Linked DNA regions of Rattus norvegicus. The protein of the gene in region 1 purifies or fractionates together with the protein of each later gene. This does not show direct contact. Links are inferred from orthologs where the notes say so. Each region holds a gene or a part of one and is shown in the gene's direction. Other genes may lie near its edges.

Region 1 (4,767 bases):
CAAAGAAATACCAGAGGTTAAATAAACATTGACTGATCACTCGATAATTCAATATTTGAGATACACGGGCTCGCAAAACATCCAAGCTAGCATAAACCACAAGGGAATAGTTGCCTGAGGGGAACAGGAGGCTCCCCGGGGTATATGACATTGGCTGGGCCTAAGTTTAGTTTGGAGTCCTAGGAAGCTGCTGCAGGATCCCTGACAGGCTGTTTTTCTCTGGGCACTTAATATTCTAGTAGTGAAAACATTCGCTTCCTGACCCACTGTCTCCTCTGCCCTTGAGCGGGTCTACTGCTCGCAAACCAAGTGCTCTCGTGGAGGTGAACTGTAATCCTTCTGTCACCCAGTGCTCCCTCAGTCCCCTAGACCAATGCTCGAGGCACACCTATAGTGATATGGAAATGCTGTCGGTGCTCAAGGAATGCGTCCTGCCACAGAGAGCACCCCCTTGGGCCACAGAAGTAGCCAAGCACACAGACAGAGGAAAACTAGTCAGTGTTTGATCAAGTGCCGAGTCTGGGTCTGACTCCCGGGCACGGCCATTTCACGTGGTACAGGTAACCATACTCCGAGTTAACTGGGTAGGTTGATACTCACTGAGCAGGCCTTCCTTGTGGGCTTGCTGGAGAAGATTTCAAGTGGGCTTTTGGGGATCAATTCCTAAGACATTCAGATACTGGGTAACAGGGACTCAGGAACAGGATGCATAACTAGTTATAGCCCCCCCACACTCTGCCTTTTGACTTAATCTCTTCATGTTTGAAGAAGAGTATGCAGGGACACGGTGAGCATGTCAAGCTCCTCACGGTTAGGGAAAGCACAGCTGATAAGAGCTTAAGATCCTCGCTACTCCCCTGATTGACGACAGGAAAAAAAAAATAGCCGGTAATGGCCCATTTATCAATGATAACTCATGTAAGTTATCAAAGTATCTCACCTGTTTGCTGGCCTGGTTCAACAGAAGCCTTGGAGAAAATCAACTTGAAAGAGGGAAGGTTTATTGATTTATTTGGTTGGTTTTGTTTTCCAAGACAGGGTTTCTCTGCGTAGCCCTGGCTGTCCTGGAACTCACTCTGTAGACCAGGCTGGCATCGGAGTCAGAGATCCGCCTGCCTCTGCCTCCTTAGTGCTGGGATTATTGGCATGCACCACCATGGCCAGACAAGGACGATTTATTTGGGCTCATGATTTCGGTGCACAGTTGTCAGGCTTCACTGTTTGGGGGCCTTGGATGAGGCAGACCAACCCACTGAGGAGCAAAGAAATGAAGGGGCGTGGCCCAATGATGCAGCTTCCTCCCACTTTGCCTACCTCCCAAAGGCTCTATCATCTCCCCGTGGTGCCACAGGTTGGCACCAGGCCTCCTACATAAGCCTCTGGAGGCCATGTAGGTTCGAAATCAAGGCACCTATGTTGTAACTGGGAGAACGACACTGTTCCCATCTCTCTCAGGAGATGTTTTAACAGCCTCCAGTGCGCCTCTGGGAATCACCATCTTTTCCAGGGGAATGTTTGTATTTAGGGAAACAGTTAGGCTTCCCTACATAGCTCTCCTGTCAGGGAGGTGGGGTAGGGGATAGGTATTAACTCAAGCAGGCTGTACTAAGAGTCTTGGCTCAGAGCCTGCATTCTTCCCACCGGGTTTCAGGCCCGCACAGTTGGGGCATCAGTTAGGAGTAGCCTTACCATTCACTTGGCTTTGGCATCAGAACTGTCAGGGGGGAAGCCTACGACGCTAGGAAGCTACTCATGAAGAGAAAACTCTGACACGCTCCCAAGTGGTATTTTAGTGAATGTTAGGATCCATGTAGCTCCCAAACACATGGACACTCAGAAGCGCTGAGCTCATGTCTCTCAAGTCACTAGCCCAGTCTGAGCCAGGCTTCACACACATTCACGGGGCAGTCTGTTACTCCTTCACCTTTCCCCCCATTTTGAAGTAATCCAGGCCAAAGGGAAGAGAACAGACCGCTCCCCCCACCCCTTACCCGTGGCTGACTGTCCATGCTCACAAGGGGCTGTTAGGATTCTTCATTTCCTGTACCGGGATCGTTTCTGACGCAAATCAAACCAGCCTGGCACTTTTAATAGCACTCTGACGGCTCCGGTTTAAATCGTCTCCTCTCTCTCTCTCTCTCTTAGGAAATCAAAGAGCAGGAAGTGGTGGACAAAGTGATGGAGACGCTGGACGAAGATGGGGATGGGGAGTGTGACTTCCAGGAGTTTATGGCCTTCGTCTCCATGGTGACCACAGCCTGTCATGAGTTCTTTGAACATGAGTGAGACAAAAAAAAAAAAGTGGCTGAGCCGTTTCCCCGTGGCAGACATGAGGGCCACGAGAGGAGGCACGGCAGAAGGCTCGTGGGCTGGAAGGAGCTGCGCTCTCTAGACGCATATAACTAATTAGGAAGCTTGATTTGCTTCAGGGATGAAACTCTGACCCCGTTCCCAAGGGCTGCTTTAAGTTAGCACATCGTTTCTGCTACACTAGGTATTCCTGTGAGCTGAATGGTCCCGGGAACTATTGATAAGAGTCACTGAGGGGACGAAATCAACACTCTGTGGGTATAGCACTGGTTGTAGACCACCATGCTCCTGTGGAAGGGTCACCTGTAAGAATCAAGGCAGACTACCAATAGCACCTCCGTTGGACAGCTTTCTTAGGTGTAATGTATGCTGTCCATGCATCTACAGACCCACAGCTGGATCCACTGCCACCCGAAGAGGTTGGCTCGCCCTTACAACTGCTTGTCCTCTGTGCAAACGATGCCCCGGAAAGTTAGACCTATCACCCACACCCTCCCACCACCCCCAGCCCAAAAGGACAGCCCACTCAAGTCTCTTCTTCCACAGTGAACCGTGGTTTGTTACTAAGTACGTATTTGACACCAACAGTTCTAACTGGTGGAACGATTAGATCTCGCACACTAAGTATTAGCATCCTAACTCACGACCGAGAATCAAAATTCTGCTCAGTAGACGTCTCCTTTCAGGATGACACCATTGTCCCCATAGGACACGGACAGAGGAGGGCACTGGAGAGAGTGTCAGGTCTTTTTCTAGCTGTATCTTCCTCTCTCCCTCTGCTGCCCATAATGTGAGTGACCCTCTAGGGTGAGACTTGCAGGGTGAGCTGCTGAGGAATGAAGGGCCACTGAGATGTGTCCTTTAGCTGCTGGGTGTCATGTCTGACCTGCTGGTGCCTAGGGCCTGCTTAACACTCGGCAAGGCTGCGAGCCGAGGACTGTGGGAAGCCGGACTTGATGCTTTCTAACCTGCATATTTGAATGCCGAAGGTTCAAACAATCCAAGTTACAGATAAATAAAAACCGCATTGCAAGTATTAAAAAGCCATTCTAGGAAAATTCTAATTGCTCTCACCCACCTCTTTTTTTAGTACTGTTATTTATTATTTATTATTTTTTTTTAGGAGTCGAGACTTAGAAGTTCATTAAGACAACTGAACAATGCCCTTGGGTAAAATAAAAACTGTTAACAATTCTCCATCACCACTGAAGAAATAAAAATCACCCACCCTTAAGAGCCCAAGGGTGAGGGTTGGGGATTTAGCTCAGTGGTAGAGCGCTTGCCTAGCAAGTGCAAGGCCCTGGGTTCGGTCCCCAGCTCCGGAAAAAAAAAAAAAAGAGCCCAAGGGTGGGTGAAAGGCAGCTAGAACTCTAGAACTTCGGGAGGCTCTTCAACGGTCAAAGGCTGCACAGAATCAGATCGCCCCATGACCAGAGACTATGATGTGGCTCTGACAGGCAATTTTCTGCCCTGGCTGGATCACCTGTTAGCTTTCTTACCACTGTGACAGAATTCCCGACTTAACGGAAGAAGAATAAATATTTGTTTAGCTCCTGCTTTTGGAGGTTCATCATAGAGGGAAGGACATGGTGGTGGAGGTCACACCGGGGCAGGTAGGAAGTAGATTGAAAAGGACAGGAGACTGGTACACCTTTCAAGGCCTGCCCCAGCAACCTACTCCTAGTTAGCCCTCCTGGAGACCAAGGGGCCTACCACATGGAGCTATGAAGAACGGTGAGAGAGTTCAGGGCAGCACTGAAGACCAGAACCTGGCAATGCATGGGGCTGGGGGCACATGGAAGGCACTGTGGGGGACCAGAGCTGCCGAGGGCTATCTACAGGGGCTCCCTGAGTCCTCTTGTCCCCAGCCTCATAGGGACAAGTTTTGACACATGGTCACAGTTTTGACACATGGTCAGGATATCTGCCTTGCCACGCCTCCTGAACCCCTCTAGGAAGGCAGCTGTGGTGACTGACGGGAGGTTCTTGCCCGTGAGACTAGAGCTCGACAGGAATTTCATACCAATGAAAGCTCCCTTGCTATATGTTGTCCCCGCCCCAAGTGATACTTTATTTGCTGGGTGTGGGCAGGGCACCAGGTCCTGCCCTCTGGTGAGCGGGGCTCCTGAGCCAACCCTGCTGAGAAGCTGCACTCTCAGCCTGGCCCTCTCTGGAGAGGTGCTCTGTGGTGGCCGATCTTCTCCAAACGACATGAGCAGAGCAGCAGCTCAGGGAGGAGACTCCAGGCTTTCACCACAAGGTACCCAAGAAGAGAACAGGAAAGGACGAGTTGAGGCCATTTGTTCCCCAGGATGGTGACAGTGGCCAAGGGGTAGTAACCAGTGCTGGGGCTGTGACCTCTCCCATGTGGCCCTTCTTGGGGTAATGGGTGTCCAGGCACCACACCCACCGCAAACTCCGACCTACCCATGCGACAAGCAGAGCTGAGGCTAGGCA
Region 2 (5,150 bases), on another chromosome or scaffold:
ACTACAGAGAAAACACACACACACACACACACACACACACACACACACACACACACACACCCTCTCTCTCTCTCATTTCCTTTGAGAACTATGCTGTAAGTTGTTAAGTTGATAATTCGCTTATTTAGCAAATACTTACTGAGTGCCTGCTATATGCTAGCACTGTTAGATACATGTAGGATTAAACATAACAGTGAGTGAGGCATGGATAGCATAGCCCTACAGGTAAGGCTCTTCCTGTGTGATTCTGGAGAACTGAATTTCATCTCCAGAGTCCACATAAACGTGAGGAGAACCATCACCTCCGATGATGATGATGATGATAACTATAATAGTAATTGAAGCAGATTTATTGAAGCCTTACTCCTTCATAGCTTATTGGGGAACAGAGACAACAAACAGATAAATAAAAATTACATCCATGGAAAGGCTTTAAAACTTTTGTAAGGTATTCTACCAGAGTACAGGAGAGTGCTAATGTTGACAGGCAGTTAGGGAAACCATCCGCTGAGGTGGGACTTTTTTGGGGGAATGCCCTGCTGCAGAGGGCCTAGCACTTGAAAAGACCCGGCTGTAACTGGAGCAGTTGGATGGGAAGGGCTGTGTATTTGGGATCAGGAGGAAAAGATGTGGGTAGGGTGAACCATGATCTGTGCCTGGGTAGAGCTTAACCAGGAATACATTAGTTATGGGAGATGAGTCGGCCATAGTGAACTCTATCTACCACAGACAGACAGACAGACAGACAGACAACAAAGGCATGTCAGTCAATCAAATTTGGTAAAGCCAGGAAAACAAAAGTTCAGAGAGCCATGCTGCTGCTCTTGCTGTTACTCAGGTTGGGGAGGACCCAGAGACTAGATGTGTGGGACTCCGGTGCACCAGGGCGGGTTAGATGGCAGGAAGCGTGCTGGGTAGCTTTCGCACCACTTGCCATTCGATGACATGGTGGTGCATGCGTGTAAAGCCAGCATTGTGGAGGATGGGGCAGATATTCAGAATGAGCGAGACCCTCTCTCAGCCAAACCAAACCAAACCAAAAAATGTGTCACTGTAGATGAGTCACGAAGTGTTCTGAAGCGTTAAGACACACCATTGAGTTGAGTGTTCTGTAGTCTTAACACTGGGAGTCTGATCTTTTCTGGGCATCGTGGAAACTTTTCTGTGTTTTTGGTTTTTTTTTTTTTTTTCCTGTGCTGGGACTTGAACACTCAGCTCAGCTCTCAGCTCCACCACCTGCCTCTGCTCACTGCCTTTGTCTGTCTGGGAAGTGTGGCCTGTCACCCAGGCCATTCTTAGATAGCGGCCCCATGAACACTGCTCAAGGTCACTAAGTCAATCGGTCATTTACAAATCTGAATTCTACTAGCCAGTTCAGTAGTTTTTTCTTGTTAGTGTCTGTAAGAAAGTAGTGTTTCCTGATTTTCACAAAATGGAAACTGATGCTTTTTTTTTTTGGTTCTTTTTTTCGGAGCTGGGGACCAAACCCAGGGCCTTGCGCTTCCTAGGTAAACGCTCTACCACTGAGCTAAATCCCCAGCCCCCTGATGCTTTTTTAATTCCAGTACCTGTGAGGTATGTGAAGCCACCTGACATATAATCATCATAGGTCCCCACTTTTCCCTTCTCCTTAGCCTCCCCACACAGTACTTAATCATATATTACAAATACCGTCCTGGATCTCATTCAGCATGCTAGGACAGTCATGCCCCTGTCTGCTTATCTCAGTTTACCATGGTGACCATACCCAACTCGCCACACGCTGGTAGCTGGAGCGGATGAAGTTTATCAAAATCCTTGAAGTAGCAATCACGGGGCTCAATCAAGATGCCAGCAAGGAACATCTGTTCCTTGGCTTCTTCAATTTCTGGTGGCCTTTGGCCCTGATTGGCTTGTGGCCCTGTGATTGTAGTCTCTGCCTCCCTGGTTGCCTCTGCTCCCCTCTGTATACTAAATCTCCCTGTCTCTCTTACTAGGTCACCTACTTTATATTTAGGGAGCACTTGGATAATCTATGAAAATCAGTGCTCCTTTTTTAACCTTGAAAATACCAGAAACCTCCCTGTATTTCTTTTTATCTTTCAGCTCCTTGTCTTTATTTCCTTCTTGTTACATGTAGGCCCATGTTGTAGCACATCTGCCATTCCTATGCCAATCTGTCTGTCTCTGTCTGTCTGTCTGTCTCTCTCTTCCTTCCTCCCTCCCTGCGTCCCTCCCTCTCTTTCCTTTTGGACAAGTCCTTCTGTATTCCAGTCTGGCCTTAAATACCCTGTGTACCTGAAGATGACTTTGAACTCAGATCCTTCGCCTCCGCCTCCCAAGTATGAATTGTAGAGTCTGATTTATGTGCTGTTGAGGATTTAATCCAGGGCTTGTGTGTGCTAGACAGACAAGTCTGTCGTCTGGCCTGCACCCCCAGCCTTGTTTGACTAGCCCAGTGCCTCAGCTCCTGTGTCTGTCTGTCTCCCCTGACGTGGAAAGGTGCCATGTCCTTGGCTGTGCTGTCTCTTCAGTGCCTGTGGGTCTTCCTGGTCTGCACTGTTGCCCCTTCGTCGTTGTTCATACTCATTGTCTCTGGGTCAAGCTGAAACACTGCTTTCCCACATCTCCCATCTGTGTCTGTCTGTCCATCTTTATTTTTACAGTGAGCCTGGGTGGTCTTTCTGCTTAAAATGTGTGTGTCTGTATGTCTGTATGTCTGAGTGTGTGTGTGTGTGTGTGTGTGTGTGTCTGTGTCTGTGTCTGTGTGTGTGCGTGTGTGTGTGTCTGTGTGTATGTGTGTGTGTGTGCGTGTGTGTGTGTCTGTGTGTGTCTGTGTGTCTGTGTGTGTCTGTGTGTCTGTGTGTCTGTGTGTGTCTGTGTTAGGGGAAAGGGAGCATGTGGAGGTCAGAGGATAACTTTGTGAAGCTGGTTTTCTCTGTCCACGTTTCTGTGTGGTCTGGCTGTGAGGGAGCCTTCCTTCCTTTCTCCATTCTGAGTAGAGGCTCCTCCTGTGATCTGCAGATCAGCCTACTGCTCAGAAGCGTTGTTCTTCTTCATTGCTGGTGGTTAACCTGGGGTCATGGGTACACCAGGCCAGCGCTACATCACTGAGCTAACCTCTAGCCCATATAGGGTGTTTATGATTACCTGCTGTGAGACTCAAGAGAAGATCCGATGGCTTCCATTTGTTTGTGGCTAAGTGCTTATCAGGGCGTGTGACACATGACATGCGGCATCCAGCTCACAGCTGAGAACCCAGACTCAGATTCTAGCCTCGCTTTACCAGCCTGTGCAGAGGAGCCTAAGTTAGCTAAGCTTTCTGGGTCTATTTGCAAAAGACAAGTTCCTGCCCCTAACTATTCCCGGGGGTTTGTCTAACATTGCTGGGGATCGTCTCTGTTTTCTCAGCAAACTGCCTTATGATGTGACCCCTGAGCAAGCCTTGTCTCATGAAGAAGTGAAGACGAGGTTAGACAACTCCATCAGGAACATGAGGGCTGTGACAGACAAGTTCCTTTCAGCCATCGTCAGCTCTGTGGACAAAATCCCGTAAGTGCCAGCAGTTGTGACCCCAGATAATGCCTGGTTGGTGGTGCCCCCTGCGGCCTGACCTTACTCTGTTTTGTCTGTCCCCCAGTTACGGGATGCGCTTCATTGCCAAAGTGCTGAAGGACTCTTTGCACGAGAAGTTCCCGGATGCTGCCGAGGACGAGCTGCTGAAGGTAGGAAGCGGAAAATGGCGGGTTCCTCCCTTCAGTGTCAGCCCCCAGTGACCACAGACCAGCAGAACGGGCCTGAGTTCTCCACTGTGAGCCTCCAAAGCAGTCATAACTAGGAGGCAGTGGTCCTTCTCAGCAGACAGTCTCTATTCATCTTTAAAGGCCCAAGTGTACCAAGTCTAGTAGGCAGTGGGAAGTTCGGAGTCCTCTTTTCTCTGGAGCATTGCGCCCTCTCCTGGTGGCCAGGTGAATAGCAGCAAGCACAGGGCTCTGCTGAGGCTCTGCTAATTCTTCTTGCTCCGCTGTACTCCCTTCTACTCGTGTTTTTACTACCTTTTAAATCTGAACACTTTTCTCTTCTCTCTCCTAGTTCTGTGCTTTCCTACAGTGAGGCCTCGATTCTAGACTTTCTGTCCAGGTGAATTAATTTTATTTTTTTCTGGAACTCTAGGGGAGATGCCATGATTGTCCTTTCGTTCTCCTGTGGAAGACGTGTGTTGAGTGAATCTCATTTCAGAGGCATGAACGTGGCCTTTGCAGTCTGTGGCATGTGGATGGTGGGGTTTAGACAGATGGCATTGTGCTAACTAGGTCATCTTAAGGACTTACTTTCACCGTGCTCTATGGCTTCCTAAAAACCCACCTACAAAACCCACAAAGGTGTTTGACATCAGCCTGAGCTGCTGCTATAACATGAACAGAAGGTGTCCTGGCGTGTTGAGTCACACACCTTAAATGCTACTTATATATTCTAAGTCTACTCCTCTACTCGTCTCTGGGACCAGTTTCAGTCCCCTTATCCTCCCTACACACATCCATTTGAGGTTTAGGTCTTAAAGGAAAGTGTATGTGCATGTATGCATGTTGGTGTGTGTCTCTTGTTGACCTTCCTCATAGGACTGCATTTTCTCATTTTCATTGCTAGCAAAGTCCCACATGGCGTCCTCAGTGGTCTGGTCTTTAACGCCCAGGCTTCTATTTCAGATTATTGGTAACCTGCTTTACTACCGATACATGAACCCGGCCATCGTTGCTCCTGATGCCTTCGACATTATTGACCTGTCAGCAGGAGGCCAGCTCACCACAGACCAGCGTAGAAATCTGGGCTCCATTGCAAAGATGCTGCAGCACGCGGCTTCCAACAAGATGTTTCTGGGTGATAATGCTCACCTAAGCATCATTAATGAATATCTCTCTCAGTCCTACCAGAAATTCAGGTAAGGGACAACGTGGATGACTCCAAAGAGTCCGTGGGCATGTTTTCATCTGAGTGAAAAGGCAAGGTTTACCATTTCCCTCACTTCTCCAGCTCCTGAGTTGCAGGATGTGTGTGTGTGTGTGTGTGTGTGAGAGAGAGAGAGAGAGAGAGAGAGAGAGAGAGAGAGAGAGAGTGTGTGTGTGTGTGTGTGTGTGTGTGTGTGTGTGTATGTGTGTGTGTGTGTGTAAGGC

The links. Proteins that work in one complex are often made in the same cells at the same time.
Region 2: the proteins of S100b (region 1) and Iqgap1 purify together in Homo sapiens (co-immunoprecipitation; 3 studies listed by BioGRID and IntAct, with this or other methods). This does not show direct contact. The link is inferred for Rattus norvegicus from reciprocal best matches to the Homo sapiens genes S100B and IQGAP1.

What each region holds. Positions count from the first base shown.
Region 1 is NC_086038.1:12,370,952-12,375,718, reverse strand, and holds the end of S100b (protein S100-B), read left to right. Parts: intron 1-2,145; coding exon 2,146-2,286; 3' UTR 2,287-3,371; downstream 3,372-4,767. UniProt on the Homo sapiens protein: Small zinc- and- and calcium-binding protein that is highly expressed in astrocytes and constitutes one of the most abundant soluble proteins in brain.
Region 2 is NC_086019.1:144,105,325-144,110,474, reverse strand, and holds part of Iqgap1 (ras GTPase-activating-like protein IQGAP1), read left to right. Parts: intron 1-3,390; coding exon 3,391-3,531; intron 3,532-3,619; coding exon 3,620-3,704; intron 3,705-4,071; coding exon of another isoform or gene 4,072-4,092; exon of another isoform or gene 4,093-4,119; intron 4,120-4,685; coding exon 4,686-4,918; intron 4,919-5,150. UniProt on the Homo sapiens protein: Plays a crucial role in regulating the dynamics and assembly of the actin cytoskeleton.